Daphnia pulex: one gene and its partner. The protein of the gene in region 1 purifies or fractionates together with the protein of each later gene. This does not show direct contact. Links are inferred from orthologs where the notes say so. Each region holds a gene or a part of one and is shown on either strand. Other genes may lie near its edges. The genes, in order: neural Wiskott-Aldrich syndrome protein-like and cdc42 homolog.

Evidence for each region.
Region 2: the proteins of neural Wiskott-Aldrich syndrome protein-like (region 1) and cdc42 homolog purify together in Drosophila melanogaster (affinity purification with western blotting; 3 studies listed by BioGRID). This does not show direct contact. The link is inferred for Daphnia pulex from reciprocal best matches to the Drosophila melanogaster genes WASp and Cdc42.

What each region holds. Positions count from the first base shown.
Region 1 is NC_060019.1:7,011,146-7,015,685, reverse strand, and holds neural Wiskott-Aldrich syndrome protein-like, read left to right. Parts: upstream 1-1,680; 5' UTR 1,681-1,823; exon of another isoform or gene 1,824-1,840; intron 1,841-1,883; exon of another isoform or gene 1,884-2,029; 5' UTR 2,030-2,048; coding exon 2,049-2,150; intron 2,151-2,218; coding exon 2,219-2,446; intron 2,447-2,518; coding exon 2,519-2,615; intron 2,616-2,676; coding exon 2,677-2,963; intron 2,964-3,063; coding exon 3,064-3,849; 3' UTR 3,850-4,267; downstream 4,268-4,540. Other genes in the region: wiskott-Aldrich syndrome protein-like, read left to right, coding at 1-24, 100-383; pleckstrin homology domain-containing family J member 1-like, read right to left, coding at 581-814, 883-946, 1,009-1,178, 1,246-1,381, 1,449-1,498; uncharacterized protein LOC124190376, read right to left, coding at 4,397-4,540.
Region 2 is NC_060017.1:3,183,507-3,187,505, reverse strand, and holds cdc42 homolog, read left to right. Parts: upstream 1-1,604; 5' UTR 1,605-1,759; intron 1,760-1,963; 5' UTR 1,964-1,982; coding exon 1,983-2,087; intron 2,088-2,149; coding exon 2,150-2,222; intron 2,223-2,303; coding exon 2,304-2,413; intron 2,414-2,472; coding exon 2,473-2,670; intron 2,671-2,742; coding exon 2,743-2,832; 3' UTR 2,833-3,296; downstream 3,297-3,999. Other genes in the region: nucleolar pre-ribosomal-associated protein 1-like, read right to left, coding at 75-602, 672-893, 967-996; alpha-tocopherol transfer protein-like, read right to left, coding at 3,990-3,999. UniProt on the Drosophila melanogaster protein: Regulates mbt kinase activity and is also required to recruit mbt to adherens junctions. Together with mbt and Frl, regulates photoreceptor cell morphogenesis. Together with Frl, has a role in the neuronal development of mushroom bodies.

The DNA of each region.
Region 1 (4,540 bases):
GAGCTTATCTACTAAAAAATAAAGGTATTAAGGACAACATCAAACACTATTTCACATGATCCCGAGATGACATTCAAATCTGATTTTTTAATTCCACAGCAAACACGAAGGACGACACCTTCAGCGTCAGTCCCCCAAAAGATTTTCGCTTAATCAGTCACATTGGATGGGATAAACGAAAAGGATTTATTCTGTACAATGTTGATAACCAATTGATTCAAACATTCTTGACCGGCTTTTGCAACCGAATCAGTAACTGCACACCAAAAGAAAATAACCATCAACGTTCACGGCCACGCAGCTTCAAAAGAAAGAAGATTTCTAAAAACGACATTAGTTTGCCTGTTGATGTCAATGTGATACAGCGGAATAGCCAATTGTAACAAGTGCAAACCAATGCGACGAACGAGAGGCAGTTTTTCTTTGAGCCATTATTTAATGACTAGATTTCGAAAATCAGCCGAACATAACTTAATTTGCTTAATAGAGGAATGTTAATATTAATTACACAAATCTATCTAAATCTCTTTATGATTGGCACGTTTTTTTTAAGTCGGACGGTTGTTTTTTTCATCACTAATCACCATTTGATCAAGTCTTGATCAGGCTGTTTGTTATCACTTATGAAAGAATTTATCGGCAGGGGATTTTCGTCAGACATGTGACTCACAAATGTTTTTGCTTTAGGCCCGATACGTTTTCTGGCTGGGGGCGTAGGTAAAGCGGGAACTGCAGAATTGGAAGGCTGTTTAAATACACTACTTGGTGTAGTACTACTTGATGATGCTGCTGTGGTACTCCATTTAAAAATGCTCTGAACATACCAAAGATTTTATCATTTTAACAATAATTTTCCCTTAAAATTTTTCCTTTTAAACTTACCTTTCCACCAAGACTTTCCAGTTTACTCTCTAAAATTTTGACTTGGATTCTCAAATGTTCATAACTAAATAAAAATTAATTTTATGTCAGCACTGTCCATGTATGAATTATTATGAAAAATTTTACCTGGCTTGCCTCAAGGCTATGACCCAATTCTGTGCTTGATTCACACTGAAGCAAGAGAACACATGTCTGTCTTGATCACCAGAGAAAGTAACAACAAAAGCAAATACCCCAGATCCATCTTCATCAAATGCTACGGAGCAATTTTCTAAAACTATCACACCAATAGGCTCCTGCAAATGAAATTTTAACAGCTTAAAAATGAGACCAAAATTCTTATTTTCTGTACTTCAAACCTACATTTCCTTTAATTCCTCCAAAATTGTTCAAACCGAAGTAAAAAAGAAGATTGCCTGTCAATTTAAACCAGAATTCCTTGAAATTTCCTTTCGACTTTCCCGGATGAAGAACTCTGTAATTTATTCTTCCTTCAATCCTATTTCAAAAAGAATTTTTGTATAATAGTCATCGTATTTATTCTAATACACAATCTAATGTCTCACGTCGCAGGTTTGAAGGAGGTGGTTATTAATTCTTTTCCATTCACATGCATTTTGGTTTAAAGAATCACTGAAAAAAATATATATATTCATCAACAAGATAAAAAATAATGATATATGGAGCAAATCGAATGAAGAGATAAAAGCACAAAAAGATGAAGTTCTTAGAAATGAAAGGCGATCAACATTCCGAACATGAAGTAAACAACTGATCCCAACCCGTGATTCTCATAGCGTTTATGAATTTACCGCTAGATGGAATTGTTTCGTCCTGTCTGATGTGGACCAAACCATTGGACCGTATTGGACTATTTCCTCAAGATAAAACTCTCGTATCTTAAAATTGTGAAACACCGTGTGTAGATCTTCATGAGACTGGTAAGGGAGTGACTGCCGTAAGTGTTTATGAAATAAGCGTATAAATAATAATTCAATTGAATGATAATCGTGAAAAATTCGTTCAAACAATAAGAACTACTTATCCTTATTTACAGTTGTGTGACAGTTACAATTTAATATAAATTTGTCGATGTGTTTACTAGTTTTCGATCGAAAGTTTAATTGACACATTTTGAAAAATCTAGAACCAGTAATAACATTGCCATGACTGCTGCCAAGCGTCCCCAACCTGAAAACAAACCATCATCTATTCTTTCACTAGAAGAAAATGATCAATTATTTAAACTCATTGGCTTGCGCTGCAAAGTAAGTCCCCCCAGTACTAGATTCTTCTAAAAGTCAACATTTAATGTTTTGTAATTTTTCTTTTTCAGAGTATGGCGTCAGCTGTGGTTCAGGTCTGTTTTGCTGATCCACCCAATAGATCCACATGGAACAAACGGCATTGTGGTGTAGTCTGCTTCATCAAAGATAATATCAAGAGATCCTATTTCCTTAGAGTATTTTGCCTCGACAGGCAATCTGCCATCTGGGAGCAAGAATTGTACAGTTCTTTTGACTACTGTGCACCAAGACCTTACTTTCACACTTTTGAGGGAGATGTGAGTCCTGACATTCATTTGATCATATTAGTAAATTACAATATCAATTTGGTTAATATTTTTCGAATGCAGGAATGTCGCATCGGGTTTAATTTTGCTAATGAAGGCGAGGCAGAATACTTTCTGATGGCTATCAAAGAATATTTGAGGATGAAATCGGAGAAACGAGGTGTGTACATTTTGATGTTGACAAATAATGGTTGATTAATAGCTCAGTTGTTGTGTTTTAGAACGCCGTCGTTTATCACAGCAGCAAGTGCAGCAACCGCAACCAGGAAAACCCACGCCAGTCGCCACGAACGGATCGGTACCAAAATCTACAGCAGTACGATCAGCGACAATCACAAACAGTATAACCGTGACAAAAAAAGGGAAGAAAGACAAGAACAAGAAAATTACCAAAGCGGATATTGGAGGGCCATCAGATTTCAAACACATCAGTCACGTTGGATGGGACCCCAATCAAGGATTTGCACTTGACAACGTCGATCCAAATCTGTTGAAGTTCTTCGCCAGAGTAAGACGACTATTTCGCTCAGCATTTCTGTGTTTAACTTTTCTATGGTCTTAACTTAACTTCTGTTATGGTTTAACTTTTTTTTCTTTTGTAATGAAAGGCCGGCATATCGGAGAATCACTTGAAAGACAAAGCAACACGTGAATTCATCTACGATTTTATCGACAAACATGGAGGAAAAGAAGCGGCTATTCGTGAGATTTCGAGTTTACAGTCATCCGGCGGCAGTTTGTTTTCAGCACCTCCGGTGCCAGCAAGGAATCCTCCGTCTACACCTCAGACGGCAAGGATCGCTCCTCCGGCACCACCCGTTTCAGCTCCACCGCCGCCACCTTCAAGAGTGATTGCCTCCCCTCCATCTGTTGCTCCTCCAGCACCTCCTCAACGTGCCCCACCACCGAAAATGGCACCAATTAACAACGTTGCACCCCCACCACCTCCTGTCGGTGCACCTCCTCCTCCTCCACCACCTCCACCGCCTCCTTCATTTGGTGGACCTCCTGCTCCTCCTGTTCCTTCATTTGTTGTTTCGTCTCCGTCACTCCCACCCACTCCAGCTCAACCCGATGTCCGTGGCGCCCTGATGGACGCCATCAAAGAGGGACACAAACTCAAATCGGTGCCGAGTGATGCCGATCAATCGATGAAGAGTGGCGCTAAAGTGCCAGCCTTCGATTCACGCAACGATTTGTTGGGTCAAATAAGAGCAGGAAAGGAACTGAAACCCGTGGAGAAAAAGGCTTCTGTTGTTGCCGTCAGCGACGATGTCATGGAAGGTATGGCCGGTGCCTTGGCCAGGGCCTTGGAGGAAAGATGTCGTGTCATCCATTCCGACAGTGATGAAAGCGGCCAGGACCCAGATGAAGATGACGATTGGGACGATTAATAAAATTTTTGTGAAAATCGTTCCCTATATCAAAAGCAGTCCTCGAGTTTGACGTAGTATTATTTTAAAGAGACTTATTAGTCTTTTATCTTTCACTGGAATTTAATTATTTGCAATATTGCTTCTGCCTAAATCTTCCAGTGGTACAAGCTATCCATTTACATGTTTAAGCCGCACAAAGAATCTTTTAAATAACCGCAACCCAACTGTGACAGCCGTTGCACATATTGCTATTTGCAAGTTAGAGTTAAAAAAAAAATAAAAAAATAATTCATTTGGGTAGTTGTGTGTGAATGATGTGCCTACTTATTAGAATGAAATGTGTTTCTGTTTTATCCTTCTTGTTTTTGCTTTGCCTCATCTACCAATATTCTTTCTTGTTCTGAAATGAATTACACTAATGTCCTATTGTCACACATATGAAGTTCACCCAAAATTCTTAATTAAGCAATAAAAAAAAAATTATTGAATTTGAAGTTCATAGAATTTGGCCGTATTTTGGTGTATTTCTAAATAAGCTAGGAAAAATTACATAACATTTCGGATTTCATACAAATGAATGTAACAAAACCCCACCTGCAATGACTAGCGCCAGGGCTGGATAATGGTGTGTCACTGCCACGCCCAATGCTTTGACGTCATCGTGTGTTTGAATCTGTTTTTGCTTTTCCGGTTGATGGTCAACTCTGGG
Region 2 (3,999 bases), on another chromosome or scaffold:
CGCATCAATTTAACATTCAGCATGCAGGGAGGGGTAACAAACCGGACGGTCTTCAAATCCTTCTCCTGAGCTGCTTAAATGATGCTTTTGGATTCGTGAATGTGTGAAGCGACGGAGCATAATACTCGGGCGTATTTGTTAAACGTAGCATAGTTTGGCTCAGCTTCATAGAGTACATGCCACAAATTGACCATCAACTGCATTAGCTCACACATGATCCAGGGAGCAATAACTTGTTGCTGCATAGGAAGTAAATTCCAAATAGGTTTTCTGCTACTGATTTTAGCATTCTGCATCTTGGGTTTGTTAGTGGTTTTGTCGGCGGTATCTTCGTCTTCGGCTTCCATCATTTCGACCTCCTGTTCAAGTTTTGCAATAGCTTCTTCGTCGTCCTTTTCTTTCGACTCTCCCTTCTTCAGCATGTGAGTGTAGAGCGTGTCCCACATTGTCGTCACCACCGACACCATCTGACTAGCTTCATCTGCAACGGTGTCGGTCAGCAAGAGGCTGTCAAGCCACATGATAAGGCCACGATGTTGAATCAAGTCATAGGTAATGATTGAATTCTGAAGTGAAGATTGTACGACTTCAAGTATGAGCCGCTGTAAATCAAACAAAGAAAAATGTCTCGATGAAATCTCAAACTAAAATTCAATTACTAAAAAAATAACCTTATCAGTTTTGTCGGACAATAGATTGGATGGCTGCAAGGAGAGAAGGATTGGAAAGACTCTTCTTCGAGCACACACTAAATAGTCCTGACGACTTTTGATGCCATCTTGAAGAAGGCTGAGTAAAAAACTCCTTTGAAGCGACCTCTGTTCAGGTAGTTCAGTGTTATGAAGCATGACGAAAAATTCTGGAACTTGGGTAACATCCATAGCCGATTTTACCTAGAAACAATGAAAGGAATGGCGTTTAAGTTTTAAACGAGAAGGAAATTGCAATCAATTAACAGGAACATACCAGTAGAAAGTTATTGATTGCACGGTACATTGGGTGAGAAGGATCTTGAACGATGGCTGCAGCTTTGGCAAGAAATAATGCAATGATTGGACAGCTTTGGTGGTTTTAACATTTAACAGAAAATTTTGGTTTCCAGGGCATTGCTCCAGCATTAAGAGTCCACCGTTTGTAAGGATGGAACACGTTCAAAATTTCAATCCCTGTTTGAAAGTCACTTTCGTTAAAATGACGGGAGCAAATATGTGAGGTGCTCGTCAAATTACTACATGGAATTACTTCTTGCCATTTTGATAATGAAGTTTTAGGAATTGCAAACAGGGTAACCTCATTTTCTTTTTGATTTCCTTTGTAATATGTTGATTTACAACCAGGAACAGCACACCTGCCAACCATTTTTACATAAATTATGGTTAGGCTTCTTTCACGTAATACACAAAAATGGCCGCCGAAAGTATTATTTGAAACTCAACGTCTTATCACTAGATGGCTCTTTTTAAAGTTTCCACTTCACAACTTCTGACAGGCTCCGCCCTAAAACCCCCTGAAAATCGGCTTACGTTTACCCTGAAACCGGGATAGGGAAGCCAACACAGCCATGAACTGACCAGGTATCTATAGCTCTGCTTGCGGTTGAAGCGGTGGCGTCCTGAAATATTTTCTGACAAGTGGCAACGTTGCACCAGGGACGTTCACGCCTTGATATTCTCCAAGTGTCACTTCCACAACCGCTTTTTTTTGGATATTAAATATTTTTCAGCAAATTGTGCTGATACTACATTTCAAGATATTGATCGTAAGTGAATAAAGTGATTTGAGGTTCTATTCATTGACCGGTTTAAACCAAAGTCTTACTCCACTTTTATGTGTGTGTTTTCGCCCAGCGTCCTATCTATCAAAATGGCTGTCGAATAGTTTCGTTTCGCCCGCTTATCTCGTTGTGATCTGCTAATTTTGTGTAAGCCATTTCATTAATGTTATCTATTCCCTTTCATTTTAGAGTCTGACAGGAAGGAGCAATGCAGACCATCAAGTGTGTTGTTGTGGGGGATGGTGCAGTGGGTAAAACTTGTCTTCTGATTTCTTACACCACCAACAAGTTCCCGTCAGAATATGTTCCAACAGTAAGCTATCATGTGATACTCTCTCAAGATGTTATTTCTAACAGCTATTTGACATTTTTTAGGTATTTGACAATTATGCTGTCACTGTTATGATTGGAGGTGAACCTTACACTCTTGGGTTGTTTGATACAGCAGGTGTGAATTCCTTTCTACTTCATTTATATATATTTTTTTTCATTGTTACTTAACAATATTTCCTTAATTTTATGACAACAGGTCAAGAAGATTATGACAGATTAAGACCACTTAGTTATCCACAGACTGATGTGTTCTTGGTGTGTTTTTCTGTTGTCTCACCGTCGTCATTTGAAAATGTCAAAGAAAAGGTTAATATTAGTAGCTCAATCATTAAAAAACTGCAAACTAATGCACTCCTGTTTTGTAGTGGGTTCCTGAAATTACACACCACTGTCAGAAGACACCTTTCTTGTTAGTTGGAACGCAGATCGATCTGCGAGACGACGCGGCAACTGTAGAGAAGTTGGCAAAAAATAAGCAAAGAGTGATCACTATCGACCAGGGAGAGAAGCTAGCTCGCGAACTGAAAGCAGTGAAATACGTGGAGTGCTCTGCCCTCACTCAGGTAAGTCGAGCAAATTCTGTTTCTCCATAGTCGCAAATAGGTAACATGGTTGTTGGATTATGTCTCTCGCAGAAAGGGTTGAAGAACGTCTTTGACGAAGCCATTTTGGCAGCACTGGAACCTCCTGAGCCTATCAAAAAGAGGAGGTGTAATATTCTGTGAGCAAGACAAATTGACAGCAAAACAGGCAAAATAAAATTTCCTTTATATAAAATAAGGAGAGCTAAAAAAAAACACTCTTAAATGACACCTTGCTACTAACCAATGGAATTATTCAACGAGAAGATGGAAAAGCAAAATACTGATGATACGTTCTTTTTGCCAGTTCTTGCATTAACCAGTTTCAACGTGTCATTATCGTTTCGATTATTTTGTGTGTGCGTGCGCGTGTTTCGCAGGCCATTTGCCGCGCTCTTCCAATCTTCTTTTCATTCATCCTCTACCTTCTCGATCTAGGAAATAACACATACCTGTTCTGTTGCTCTCCTTCCTTTCTCCTCTCTTTCTTTGTTCATAAAAAAAGAAGTAAGCATAACAAAAGAACTTTGGCCTCATCATTGTAATCCTCATCGCAAAACTTGTCTGTATGGCATAGGAGAGAATATACAATAAAATTTTCTCTTATACCTTGCAGTTATTAATGCTGGTCAGTTCAGAATTGTCGCTACATTGGACGATTGCGTCGTCGCAATGTTATGGCTAATCTGCTACTATTTTTATTAATATAAGTAAAACATTTGATTGAATTTGACTTTTGACGCTTAGGATCGCTGGAACAGATGTGAAAGTAAGATTGCGTATGGCACTTGCGCATATCATACATTGATAAATAGTTTTGCCGGTTGGTTAGCAACTCATTTGCTCATTGACGTCATTTATTTGTGTATCAGCAGTTTTTAATCTACTACAAACGAAAAACGAGTTCAATTTTAAAAGTCCTGGTTGGTATGAACTAATATAGAACTTTATCACATGTTTTTGATAAGCTGTCGTTCAGCGACAGCGAAATGAATTTTTTTTTAACTACTCTCCCCAAAGGTTTTTATTTTTACTGTATATTACAACTTAAGTAAATTTTTTTCAATAACCGGCTGAATTTTTATGCAAATTCTTCTCGGAATTTATAAAGACATCGGAAAATCCGTTGAAAATAATTGTGATTTATATTTATTTAGCAACAATTTTTAGCAACAAAAGATATGATCATCATCAATCAAGGCAAGCATAAAAATTTAGATTATAAATCCGTGATTTTAACCAAATATATTAATTTTACTTTTTTCATAGAATTTGATACGTATTAAGCAGCAAGCTTATTTTTAATTTAAA